Linked DNA regions of Pelodiscus sinensis. The protein of the gene in region 1 purifies or fractionates together with the protein of each later gene. This does not show direct contact. Links are inferred from orthologs where the notes say so. Each region holds a gene or a part of one and is shown in the gene's direction. Other genes may lie near its edges.

Evidence for each region.
Region 2: the proteins of SQSTM1 (region 1) and NIPSNAP1 purify together in Homo sapiens (affinity purification with mass spectrometry; 4 studies listed by BioGRID and IntAct, with this or other methods). This does not show direct contact. The link is inferred for Pelodiscus sinensis from reciprocal best matches to the Homo sapiens genes SQSTM1 and NIPSNAP1.
Region 3: the proteins of SQSTM1 (region 1) and HADHB purify together in Homo sapiens (affinity purification with mass spectrometry; 3 studies listed by BioGRID and IntAct, with this or other methods). This does not show direct contact. The link is inferred for Pelodiscus sinensis from reciprocal best matches to the Homo sapiens genes SQSTM1 and HADHB.

Annotation. Positions count from the first base shown.
Region 1 is NC_134727.1:34,417,734-34,421,475, forward strand, and holds the start of SQSTM1 (sequestosome-1), read left to right. Parts: upstream 1-1,458; 5' UTR 1,459-1,572; coding exon 1,573-1,741; intron 1,742-3,595; coding exon 3,596-3,691; intron 3,692-3,742. UniProt on the Homo sapiens protein: Molecular adapter required for selective macroautophagy (aggrephagy) by acting as a bridge between polyubiquitinated proteins and autophagosomes.
Region 2 is NW_027465935.1:547,393-551,134, reverse strand, and holds the start of NIPSNAP1 (protein NipSnap homolog 1), read left to right. Parts: upstream 1-1,273; 5' UTR 1,274-1,332; coding exon 1,333-1,409; intron 1,410-3,742.
Region 3 is NW_027465862.1:361,277-365,018, reverse strand, and holds the start of HADHB (trifunctional enzyme subunit beta, mitochondrial), read left to right. Parts: upstream 1-1,513; 5' UTR 1,514-1,640; exon of another isoform or gene 1,641-1,720; intron 1,721-3,742. Other genes in the region: HADHA (trifunctional enzyme subunit alpha, mitochondrial), read right to left, coding at 1,333-1,411. UniProt on the Homo sapiens protein: Mitochondrial trifunctional enzyme catalyzes the last three of the four reactions of the mitochondrial beta-oxidation pathway.

The DNA of each region.
Region 1 (3,742 bases):
TGGCTCCCCCCATTCTAAACCGCCCCCCCCGCTCCCCTACTCTAAACCGGCTCCCCCCATTCTAAACCGCCCCCCCCCACTCCCCTACTCTAAACCGCCCCCCCACTCCCCTACTCTAAACCGCCCCCCCCGCTCCCCTACTCTAAACCGGCTCCCCCCATTCTAAACCGCCCCCCCCCACTCCCCTACTCTAAACCGGCTCCCCCCATTCTAAACCGCCCCCCCCGCTCCCCTACTCTAAACCGGCTCCCCCCATTCTAAACCGCCCCCCCCGCCTCCCTCCTCTAAACTGGCTCCCCCCATTCTAAACCGCCCCCCCCCCCGCTCCCCTACTCTAAACCGGCTCCCCCCATTCTAAACCGCCCCCCCCACTCCCCTACTCTAAACCGCCCCCCCCGCTCCCCTACTCTAAACCGCCCCCCCCCCGCTCCCCTACTCTAAACCGGCTCCCCCCATTCTAAACCGCCCCCCCCACTCCCCTACTCTAAACCGCCCCCCCGCTCCCCTACTCTAAACCGCCCCCCCCGCTCCCCTACTCTAAACCGGCTCCCCCCATTCTAAACCGCCCCCCCCCGCCTCCCTCCTCTAAACTGGCTCCCCCCATTCTAAACCGCCCCCCCCGCTCCCCTACTCTAAACCGGCTCCCCCCATTCTAAACCGCCCCCCCCGCTCCCCTACTCTAAACCGGCTCCCCCCATTCTAAACCGCCCCCCCCCACTCCCCTACTCTAAACCGGCTCCCCCCATTCTAAACCGCCCCCCCCCGCTCCCCTACTCTAAACCGGCTCCCCCCATTCTAAACCGCCCCCCCCGCCTCCCTCCTCTAAACTGGCTCCCCCCATTCTAAACCGCCCCCCCCCCCGCTCCCCTACTCTAAACCGGCTCCCCCCATTCTAAACCGCCCCCCCCACTCCCCTACTCTAAACCGCCCCCCCCGCTCCCCTACTCTAAACCGCCCCCCCCCCCGCTCCCCTACTCTAAACCGGCTCCCCCCATTCTAAACCGCCCCCCCCACTCCCCTACTCTAAACCGCCCCCCCGCTCCCCTACTCTAAACCGCCCCCCCCGCTCCCCTACTCTAAACCGGCTCCCCCCATTCTAAACCGCCCCCCCCCGCCTCCCTCCTCTAAACTGGCTCCCCCCATTCTACACCGCCCCCCCCGCTCCCCTACTCTAAACCGGCTCCCCCCATTCTAAACCGCCCCCCCCGCTCCCCTACTCTAAACCGCCCCCCCCCGCTCCCCTACTCTAAACCGCCCCCCCCCCGCTCCCCTACTCTAAACCGGCTCCCCCCATTCTAAACCGCCCCGCCCCCCCGCCTCCTCAGCCTCCAGACCCCGCCCCGAATCTAGCCCCCCCGCGCCCGGGCGCTGAGAAGGTGCCTGAGCCGCGCCCCGCCCTGCCTTCCCCCTAGCGGGGCGCCCAGGGGCGGGGACTTTCCCGGCGCAGGCCCGGCCTCCCGCGGTATAAGGGGAGCGGCCGGGCGGAGGGAGCTCAGGCCCGCGCCGCGCTCTGCCCAGCCCCAGCCGCCCGCCGCCGCCCATTGCTGCTGCGCCACAGCCCGCCCGCCCGCCATGGCCGCGCTGACGGTGAAGGCCTTTCTGCTGGGCAAGGAGGGGGTGGTCCGCGAGATCCGCCGCTTCGCGCTCCCGCCGCCCGCCCGCTACCAGGACGTGCGCGACAAGGTCGGCGAGATCTTCCCCGCGCCGCTGCGCGACGGCGCCTTCCTGCTGCACTACAAGGGTGAGCGCCGCGGGCCCGGCTGTGGCCAGGCTCGATCCGCGGCTCTTTTCCGCCCCTGAGCTGTGCGAGCCCGTAGGGAGACCGCCCCGGTGCATGCTGCGGGCTGGGCAGAATCGCGGCCTGATGCCTGCCCCACACCCGGCTGCTCCGGGGGGGGACAAGACTCCTAGACTCGAAGGGACCATTATGATCATCTAGTCCCACCCCCTGCCCAATGCAGGCCGCAGAATCGCACCCACCCTCTCCTGGAATAGGCCTCTCCCCTCTCGCTCACATATTGGTCTGAGGAAGTGGGTCTGGCCCACGAAAGCTCGTCATCTAATAAGCCATCTTGTTAGTCTCTAAAGGGCTACATAGCCCTGTATATTGAAGTCCTGAAATGGTCTAAGGACCCCAAGATGCAGAGAGGACAGCAGACTAGCTCTGGGAACAATGCGCTAGGCTGCCCTTTTGCCTCCAGGGCTTCTCTTTTCTGTACCTCTGTAAATGCCTACGGCTTGGTCTACAGCACTACACACACATGTGGGTATAACTGCTTCGCTCAGGCCCCTGGATTTTCCATCCCAGAGGTCGGCTTAATGGCAGTATTAACACTCCATCCCTTCCCTGTACACAACACATTGTGGACTGTTGCCATAGCAATCATTTCCCACGGAGGTGTATTCACTACCCCATGGGAATATAGTAGTGTTTTCACCAAATGCTACAATGGCATAGCTGCACTGCTGCAGCACTGGGGGTGAAGACCAGCCTTGGAAAGAAAGCACATACAGTGAGCCTCATTTTAGCTCAAATTTTAGCTCAAATTACAGAAAGAAAAGTTCTTGCTACTTCCTGCCAACCCCTTCATTAACATAAATTGAAGTTCAGTGTTATACAGTATCATCTCATACTTTATTCGTATTATTAGTTTCTAGACTAGCTCATTGAGGAGACTTTCACATTTCTCCCCTTTAAATTATCATTCATGCAGTAACTCTATTCTGTTCAAAGACCAAGATATTTCAATGCCAAATATTTAGTTCTTAAAGATCATACACTCCAACGTGACTGTTTTTCTGCGGGTGATATTTAACTCTAGTTTATTGGAAAATTGCTTCCTTGTCAGATTTTTCTCTGTTCTCACTACTGCCAGTTTTTAACAAGAACACATATAGCTCTGCAGCATAGCTTCTCCATAGTACTGCAGACATAGTAAAATTATTTAAACATACACTCCATTCTGTAACTATTGCTGAAGTGGCTTGTGTCTTTAAAACTATACCTCTCTGCAAATGTGGTGGTTTGTAAGCAGAAGATAGTTTGGTAGGGAAGAAACTACTTAAGTAGAGGGGCAAGGTGGGAGAGAGTTTTTATGCTGATAATCTGGGGTTGATAGGACTAAAACAACACTGCATACAACTCTCAAGTAGGTTAGATTTCTTTCCCATCTAAGTTATTTGTTGTTATAGAACTCTAAGCAAAAGAGGAGAGTAAAACTAAGTGCCATTTTGAAATGAGGATAGTTAATCAACCCTTTTATTTCTCTCTCAAAACTGGAAGGGACATCCAGTCCAGTCCTCTGCCCTCATGGCAGGTACCATCCCTGACAGATTTGCCCCAGATCCCTAAATGGCTCCCTCAAGGATTGAATTTACAACCCTGGGTTTTAGCAAGCCAATGCTCAAACCACTGAGCTACCCCTCTCCCCAACAGTTCTAATATCAAAGCAGTAAGGTGTTGCTTGATTGTTAGTCTCTATTATTTGCAAAATACTTAAGACAAACTACATATTTCACTTTGTTTTCATAAAGACTTACTTTCATCTCTTCCTGATTGTCACTTATATCCAATTTATTAATCTGTCTTCTTCAGATGAAGATGGCGACATGATTGCCTTTTCCGGTGAAGAAGAATTCAAGATGGCTCTGCCATATGTGAAGGATGGCATTTTTCGTATTTACATCAAAGGTAATCTTTAGTTTTGTGGTGGTAAAGAGGCTCTCAAAAGAGAAGCAAGGC
Region 2 (3,742 bases), on another chromosome or scaffold:
CCATCTCTGTGCCCATTTAATTTATGGTGATTTCTTTACATATTTTTTCCCTGCCTCTTTCATTTAAAATATTCAAGGCCTTTTTTCAATGGGTGGGGGGAGTATTGCTGGATGTTTAACCAAGAGCGCTTTTCTCCCCGCTGCTTCCTGGGCATTTGAGTGCAAAACCAGGATACGCTTTTCAGCACCGTGTGAATTCCCGTCCCTTTCCATCTCTGCGCTCATTTAATTTATGCTGATTTCTTTGAAATATTTTTGCCCTGCCTCTCTCATTTAAAATATTCGAGGCCTTTTTTCAATGGGGAGGTCATTCGTAGATGTTTAACCAAGAGTGTTTTTCTCCCTGCTGCTTCCTGGGCATTTGAGTGCAAAACCAGGATACGCTTTTCGGCACAGGGTGAATTCCCGTCCCTTTCCATCTCTGCGCCCATTTCATTTATGGCAATAGCTTTTCAATATTTTTGCCCAGCCTTTCTTATTTAAGATATTTGAGGCCTTTTTTCAATGGGGAGGTCTTCATTGGATGTTTAACCAAGAGCGTTTTTCTCCCCACACCTTCCTGGGCATTTGAGTGCAGAACCAGGATACGCTTTTCAGCGCCGGGTGAATTCCCGTCCCTTTCCATCTCTGTGCTCGTTTCATTTACGCTGATTTCTTTTTAATATTTTTGCCCCGCCGCTATTATTTAAAATATTCGAGGTGGCTTACACCATTTTTTTAAAAGCCACACTATAAATACAGATCAAATATTGTATACACATGTAGTGACCGGAGATGGGTAGGGTCAACTCCTCCGTGCTCCCCGCACATAGATTGTGTTTTCGCGGGGAGGGGGGAGACTAGAAATGACACAACCGAAAATTCAGCTGCCCTGCTCCATGGCCAAGGCGATTAACCAAGAGGTCCCAGTTCAGGACTGCAGACCAACAGGACCAAGAATGGAACTGGGTCTCTACCCCAAGGAGCGTCCAGGCAGGCGTGAGGGCGCACAGATGGGCCCCCAAAGAGACCCACCCTGCTGCTCCTATAAGGGATGTTCCTCCTTGCAGAGGGACGGGGGCTCTGGGCTCGGAGGCTGGGGCAGCCCGGGTCTGAAATAGGGGGAGATTTTACGCTTCCCTGCCTCGTCCAAGCTTAGCTGCGGCCCCAGGCGTGTGCGCTTTGGGCACGCGGTGCGCACGGAATTGCGCCCCCCGCGCAGGGATCGCGCCCTCGCGCGCCCCTTCTTCGGGCAGGGGGAGCAAAGGGGCGCGGGGGGAGGGGAGTCCCCGCCCGGACCCGCCCCCCCGGCCCGCCCCGCGCAGCGCCCGGCTGCGGCTCCGCAGCGCGAAGATGGCGACGCGGGTGTGCGGGAACCCGGCGCTGCGGCGCCTGCTGCGGGGACCCTGCGTGGCCCGGAGCGGAGCCCGGTGAGACCCGCGGCCCCGGGGCTAGCACCCCCTTCCCCCCCCGGCCACGGTGCCGTGCGCCCCCCGCGGGTCCTCCCCGGCGCCCCCGCAGCCCGGTCCCTTGTCCCCCAGTATCCCGTCCCCAGTGTACATCCCCGTCCCATCCCCGCACGTGGCCCTCCCCGGCGCCCCCGTACCCCCAACTTGTCCATCCCTGGCATCCCCATACCCATGTCCCCTGCCCCCCAAGTATGTCCATCCCTGGCACCCGTGTACCGAGAGCCCCAGCCCCCTGTCTTCCAACGTGGCCAGCCCCAGCGCCCCCTACCTCACAGCCCCAGTCTCCTGCCCCCCAGCGTCTCCATCTTCTAGTCCCTTGTACTCCTATTCCCTGGGGCCCATCACCTCACCTGCCTAGCCCCTGGGCTCCCCTTAGGTTTGGCCTCTGCCCCACGGAGCGTCCACCCGCCCCACGTACCGCCATCGCCTGGGGCGCCCCGTAGGGCCCCCTGCAGCTCCCTGTCCTCACCCTCCCCACGGCTCCCGCCTGCCACCCCTCTCCCCTCATCAGCACCACTGGGCCCTTCTCCCCTCACTCTGCCCCCTGTGGTCCCTGTCCCTCCCCATCCCCGCCCCGCACCCTGTGGTCTCTCCCCTCCACCGCTGTGACCTTTGGTTCCCCCCATTCTGTGGTCTCTCCCTTCCATCCTGTGACCTTTGGTTCCCCCCATTCTGTGGTCTCTCCCCTCCACCGCTGTGACCTTTGGTTCCCCCCATTCTGTGGTCTCTCCCTTCCATCCTGTGACCTTTGGTTCCCCCCATTCTGTGGTCTCTCCCTTCCATCCTGTGACCTTTGGTTCCCCCCATTCTGTGGTCTCTCCCCTCCACCGCTGTGACCTTTGGTTCCCCCCATTCTGTGGTCTCTCCCCTCCATCCCTATGACCTTTGGTTCCCCCCATTCTGTGGTCTCTCCCTTCCATCACTGTGACCTTTGGTTCCCCCCCCAACCGATGGTCTCTCCCCTCCATCCCTATGACCTTTGGTTCCCCCCCCCAACCGATGGACTCTCCCCTCCATCCCATGACTTTTGGTCCCCCCCCCATTCTGTGGTCTCTCCCCTCCACGGCTGTGATCTTTGGTCACCTCCCCCCATCATGACTCACACCATCTCCCCCCCCCCCCGCACCCTGTGGGCTCTCTCGGTTGCCCTGGATAAGTGGGGTGGGCGTGTGGAAGAGCGATGGAGGGGGCCAAAGCCCAACGGGGGGGGGGGGGTGACATGTTCAGGCGGCATGTGGCAGGAGGAAGGGTTGTTTACCTTTCTCTCCCTGGTTAATGGCTTACTAGAGACTTCCAAGCTGGGCAAAGGTCTTGCGAGGCTCAGACGGTGGATGTGGCATCTCTGCTGACCTCCCTGGGAGGCACAGAGGGGGCAGGAGGGATCTGTGTCTGCCTCAGTTCCCCTCCCTCCCCCCTCCCCTCCCCCGCCTTCTCTGGGGAGTTTCTGGCCCTTCGGACTTTCCAAAGATGTCCGGAGGCAGCACCGTCTTCCTGAGCCTGCAGCCTGGCTCAGAGGCAGAGGGCAAGCCATGAACACTGAAACTGACCAGTGCTGAAACTGACCATCAAACTGACCAGTGCTGAAACTGACTAGTGCTGAAACTGACCATCAAACTGACCAGTGCTGAAACTGACCAGTGCTGAAACTGACCAGTGCTGATTAGTGTTGACAAGTACTGAAACTGACCAGGCTGACCAGTGCTGACACTGACCAGTGCTGAAACTGACCAGTGCTGACCAGTGCTGACCAGGGGTGACCAGTGCTGAAACTGACCAGTGCTGAAACTGACCATCAAACTGACCAGTGCTGACCAGGGGTGACCAGTGCTGAAACTGACCAGGCTGACCAGTGCTGAAACTGACTAGTGCTAAAACTGACCATCAAACTGATCAGTGCTGACTAGTGCTGAAACTGACCAGTGCTGAAACTGACTAGTACTAAAACTTGACCATCAAACTGACCGGTGCTGACTAGTGCTGAAACTGACCAGTGCTGAAACTGACCAGGGGTGACCAGTGCTGAAACTGACCAGTGCTGACCAGTGCTGAAACTGACCAGTGCTGACAGTGACCATCAAACTGACCAGTGCTGAAACTCACCATGAAACTGACCACTGCTGCCTCTGATACAGGGAGCTCCCCAGGAATGGGGCTGGGGGCACTGGCTGCTAGCCCCGCCCCCACACTGTCGAATAGTCGTGTAACTGCTAAAATGTGAGGCTCTAGTGGCTGGGAGGTCGGAGATAGGCCGCCACTCGTATTTGTTTCCTGGGTTTGATGTGACAGGTTTTTTG
Region 3 (3,742 bases), on another chromosome or scaffold:
GCAGCAGCCCCTGCCTGGTGAGGGGAAGGAAATGCGTGTAGTCTATGGCATTAACTTATAAGCTTTTGCTTATCAGATAATCAGTTAATCAACTGCACTATTATATCCCTAGTGCGAATCCTGAAAACAAGGAACTACAGACACCAGGCTAGTGGGCTAGATGGACCTTTGGTCTGACCCAGTACAGCCATTCTTATGTTCTTACCATGGTGTGTACAATCGTGTATCATTCTGACAGTTACAAGTGTAAATTCAGAGGAGAACCCAGCTCTCTAGCTGTGCATTCGCAGAAGGAAACCCTCACCGCAGGAATATGGGGAGCTCAGTGCCTGGGGCACCTCTGCTGAGCAGAAAAAGAAAGGACCAGACGAATGACAACTGCAGGAGAAGGACTGGGTCACTGAATTAAGAGCCCACTTAATTCCACAAACCAACAAACTCTGATCAGATGTCAAATCATTCCTGTGACTTGACTGAAAGCAGTCAGACTAACGGCTTGTCTATACTGCTGTGCTACCAGGCTGTCAGGTCACTGAGCTGTAACTTTCTTGTTCAGGGGTGTGACAAAGCATCTCCCGAGCACAGCAAGTTACAGCGCTGTGAAGTGTGGGTGTAAACAGGCTCCCAGCACTGGGAACTATGCCCCAAGCATAGAGGCTGTTCATCTAGAGCACTGGGAGAGCTCTACGAGCACACTGCCACAGCCACCTTCCCGCATCAAATCCATTAACTGCAAATGATCTCCGCTAGTCACTAACATTCATCACCCGCCCCGGGAAATGAACAGGGAGCAGCAGCACAACCTGAGAGCCCCAGGCCAGGGGTTTGGGGGAGGTGGGATAGCCGCCTGGGGAGAGCTTGTTGCCGCAGCAGGCGTGTGCCGGGAGCCAGGGTGGCTGGGGGCCAGGGTGGCCGGGGCGGCCGGGAGCCAGGGTGGCCGGGGGCCGGGGGGGCCGGGGTGGCCGGGGGGGCCGGGAGCCGGGGGGGCCGGGGCGGCCGGGGATGCTGGGGGCCGGGGGGGCCAGGGTGGCCGGGAGCCGGGGGGGCCGGGAGCCGGGGGAGCCGGGGGGGCCGGGAGCCGGGGGGGCCGGGGGGGCCGGGGTCCGGGAGCCGGGAGCCAGGGCCGCGGCAGAGCCAGAACCCCTGTGACCCGACTGCTGGCGGGCCGGGCTGCTGCGTGTGGCCAGGCCCCGCGCTGAGCTCCCCGGGCTCCTGCTGCCAGCCCCGCCCGGCCGGCGGCCCCAGACAGGCACTCGGCGGGGAGCGCAGCACGGCGAGCCGGGGCGGGGCGGGGCTCGGCAGCGCGCCCCCCCCCCCGGCCCAGCCCCTCACCGAGGCGGCGGGCCGCGCAGTACTTGGCGGCGGCCGTGAAGCGCGTGAGGCTCCCGATCGCGCGCACCGCGGCCGCCATCTTGCTCGGGGAGGTCGAAGCGGCGGCGGGGCGGGTCCTTGAGGCGCGGGGCCTTCGCACCCCCCAGGGCTGCCCGCGGCGCTGCCTGATTGGCTCGCCCAGCCCAGGCGCGGCGCGGGGCGGGCTGCCTTCAGGCACCGGCGAGGGCAGCTACGGCAGGGCCGGCGGGGGCTTTCCTGAGGCAGGCACCGCCCAGGGCAGCGAGCGGGGCCGCCACCGCGTAGCGACGGTAACGGCCGCGGCGCGAGCCCTGCGGGTCCCTGGCGCGTGGCCCCGCCCCGCCCCGCGTGGGGGAGGGGATCGCTGCAGGTGGCTGGAGGGGGAGGCGCTGCCGGGGACGGGGGACTACGTGGGGGGGGGGCTGAAGGAGGCGGGGCCTGGCTGCAGGAGGGGCAGGGCTGTGAGGGGCAGGGGGCTGAAGGAGGCGGGGCCTGGCTGCAGGAGGGGCGGGGCTGTGAGGGGCAGGGGGCTGAAGGAGGCGGGGCCTGGCTGCAGGAGGGGCGGGGCTGTGAGGGGTAGGGGGTTGAAGGAGGCGGGGCCTGGCTGCAGGAGGGGCGGGGCTGTGAGGGGCAGGGGGCTGAAGGAGGCGGGGCCTGGCTGCAGGAGGGGCGGGGCTGTGAGGGGCAGGGGGCTGAAGGAGGCGGGGCCTGGCTGCAGGAGGGGCAGGGCTGTGAGGGGCAGGGGGTTGAAGGAGGCGGGGCCTGGCTGCAGAAGGGGCGGGGCTGTGAGGGGCAGGGGGCTGAAGGAGGCGGGGCCTGGCTGCAGGAGGGGCAGGGCTGTGAGGGGCAGGGGGTTGAAGGAGGCGGGGCCTGGCTGCAGAAGGGGCGGGGCTGTGAGGGGCAGGGGGCTGAAGGAGGCGGGGCCTGGCTGCAGGAGGGGCGGGGCTGTGAGGGGCAGGGGGCTGAAGGAGGCGGGGCCTGGCTGCAGGAGGGGCGGGGCTGTGAGGGGTAGGGGGTTGAAGGAGGCGGGGCCTGGCTGTAGGAGGGGCAGGGCTGTGGGGGGCAGGGGGCTGAAGGAGGCGGGGCCTGGCTGCAGGAGGGGCGGGGCTGTGAGGGGCAGGGGGCTGAAGGAGGCGGGGCCTGGCTGCAGGAGGGGCAGGGCTGTGAGGGGCAGGGGGCTGAAGGAGGCGGGGCCTGGCTGCAGGAGGGGCAGGGCTGTGGGGGGGGCTGAAGGAGGCGGGGCCTGGCTGCAGAAGGGGCAGGGCTGTGAGGGGTAGGGGGCCGAAGGAGGCGGGGCCTGGCTGCAGGAGGGGCGGGGCTGTGAGGGGCAGGGGGCTGAAGGAGGCGGGGCCTGGCTGCAGGAGGGGCGGGGCTGTGAGGGGCAGGGGGCTGAAGGAGGCGGGGCCTGGCTGCAGGAGGGGCGGGGCTGTGAGGGGTAGGGGGTTGAAGGAGGCGGGGCCTGGCTGCAGGAGGGGCGGGGCTGTGAGGGGCAGGGGGCTGAAGGAGGCGGGGCCTGGCTGCAGGAGGGGCGGGGCTGTGAGGGGCAGGGGGCTGAAGGAGGCGGGGCCTGGCTGCAGGAGGGGCGGGGCTGTGAGGGGTAGGGGGCTGAAGGAGGCGGGGCCTGGCTGCAGGAGGGGCAGGGCTGTGAGGGGCAGGGGGCTGAAGGAGGCGGGGCCTGGCTGCAGGAGGGGCAGGGCTGTGAGGGGCAGGGGGCTGAAGGAGGCGGGGCCTGGCTGCAGGAGGGGCGGGGCTGTGAGGGGTAGGGGGTTGAAGGAGGCGGGGCCTGGCTGTAGGAGGGGCAGGGCTGTGAGGGGCAGGGGGCTGAAGGAGGCGGGGCCTGGCTGCAGGAGGGGCAGGGCTGTGAGGGGCAGGGGGCTGAAGGAGGCGGGGCCTGGCTGCAGGAGGGGCAGGGCTGTGGGGGGGGCTGAAGGAGGCGGGGCCTGGCTGCAGAAGGGGCAGGGCTGTGAGGGGTAGGGGGCCGAAGGAGGCGGGGCCTGGCTGCAGGAGGGGCGGGGCTGTGAGGGGCAGGGGGCTGAAGGAGGCGGGGCCTGGCTGCAGGAGGGGCGGGGCTGTGAGGGGCAGGGGGCTGAAGGAGGCGGGGCCTGGCTGCAGGAGGGGCGGGGCTGTGAGGGGTAGGGGGCTGAAGGAGGCGGGGCCTGGCTGCAGGAGGGGCGGGGCTGTGAGGGGCAGGGGGCCGAAGGAGGCGGGGCCTGGCTGCAGAAGGGGCGGGGCTGTGAGGGGTAGGGGGCTGAAGGAGGCGGGGCCTGGCTGCAGAAGGGGCGGGGCTGTGAGGGGTAGGGGGCTGAAGGAGGCGGGGCCTGGCTGCAGAAGGGGCGGGGCTGTGAGGGGTAGGGGGCTGAAGGAGGCGGGGCCTGGCTGTAGGAGGGGCAGG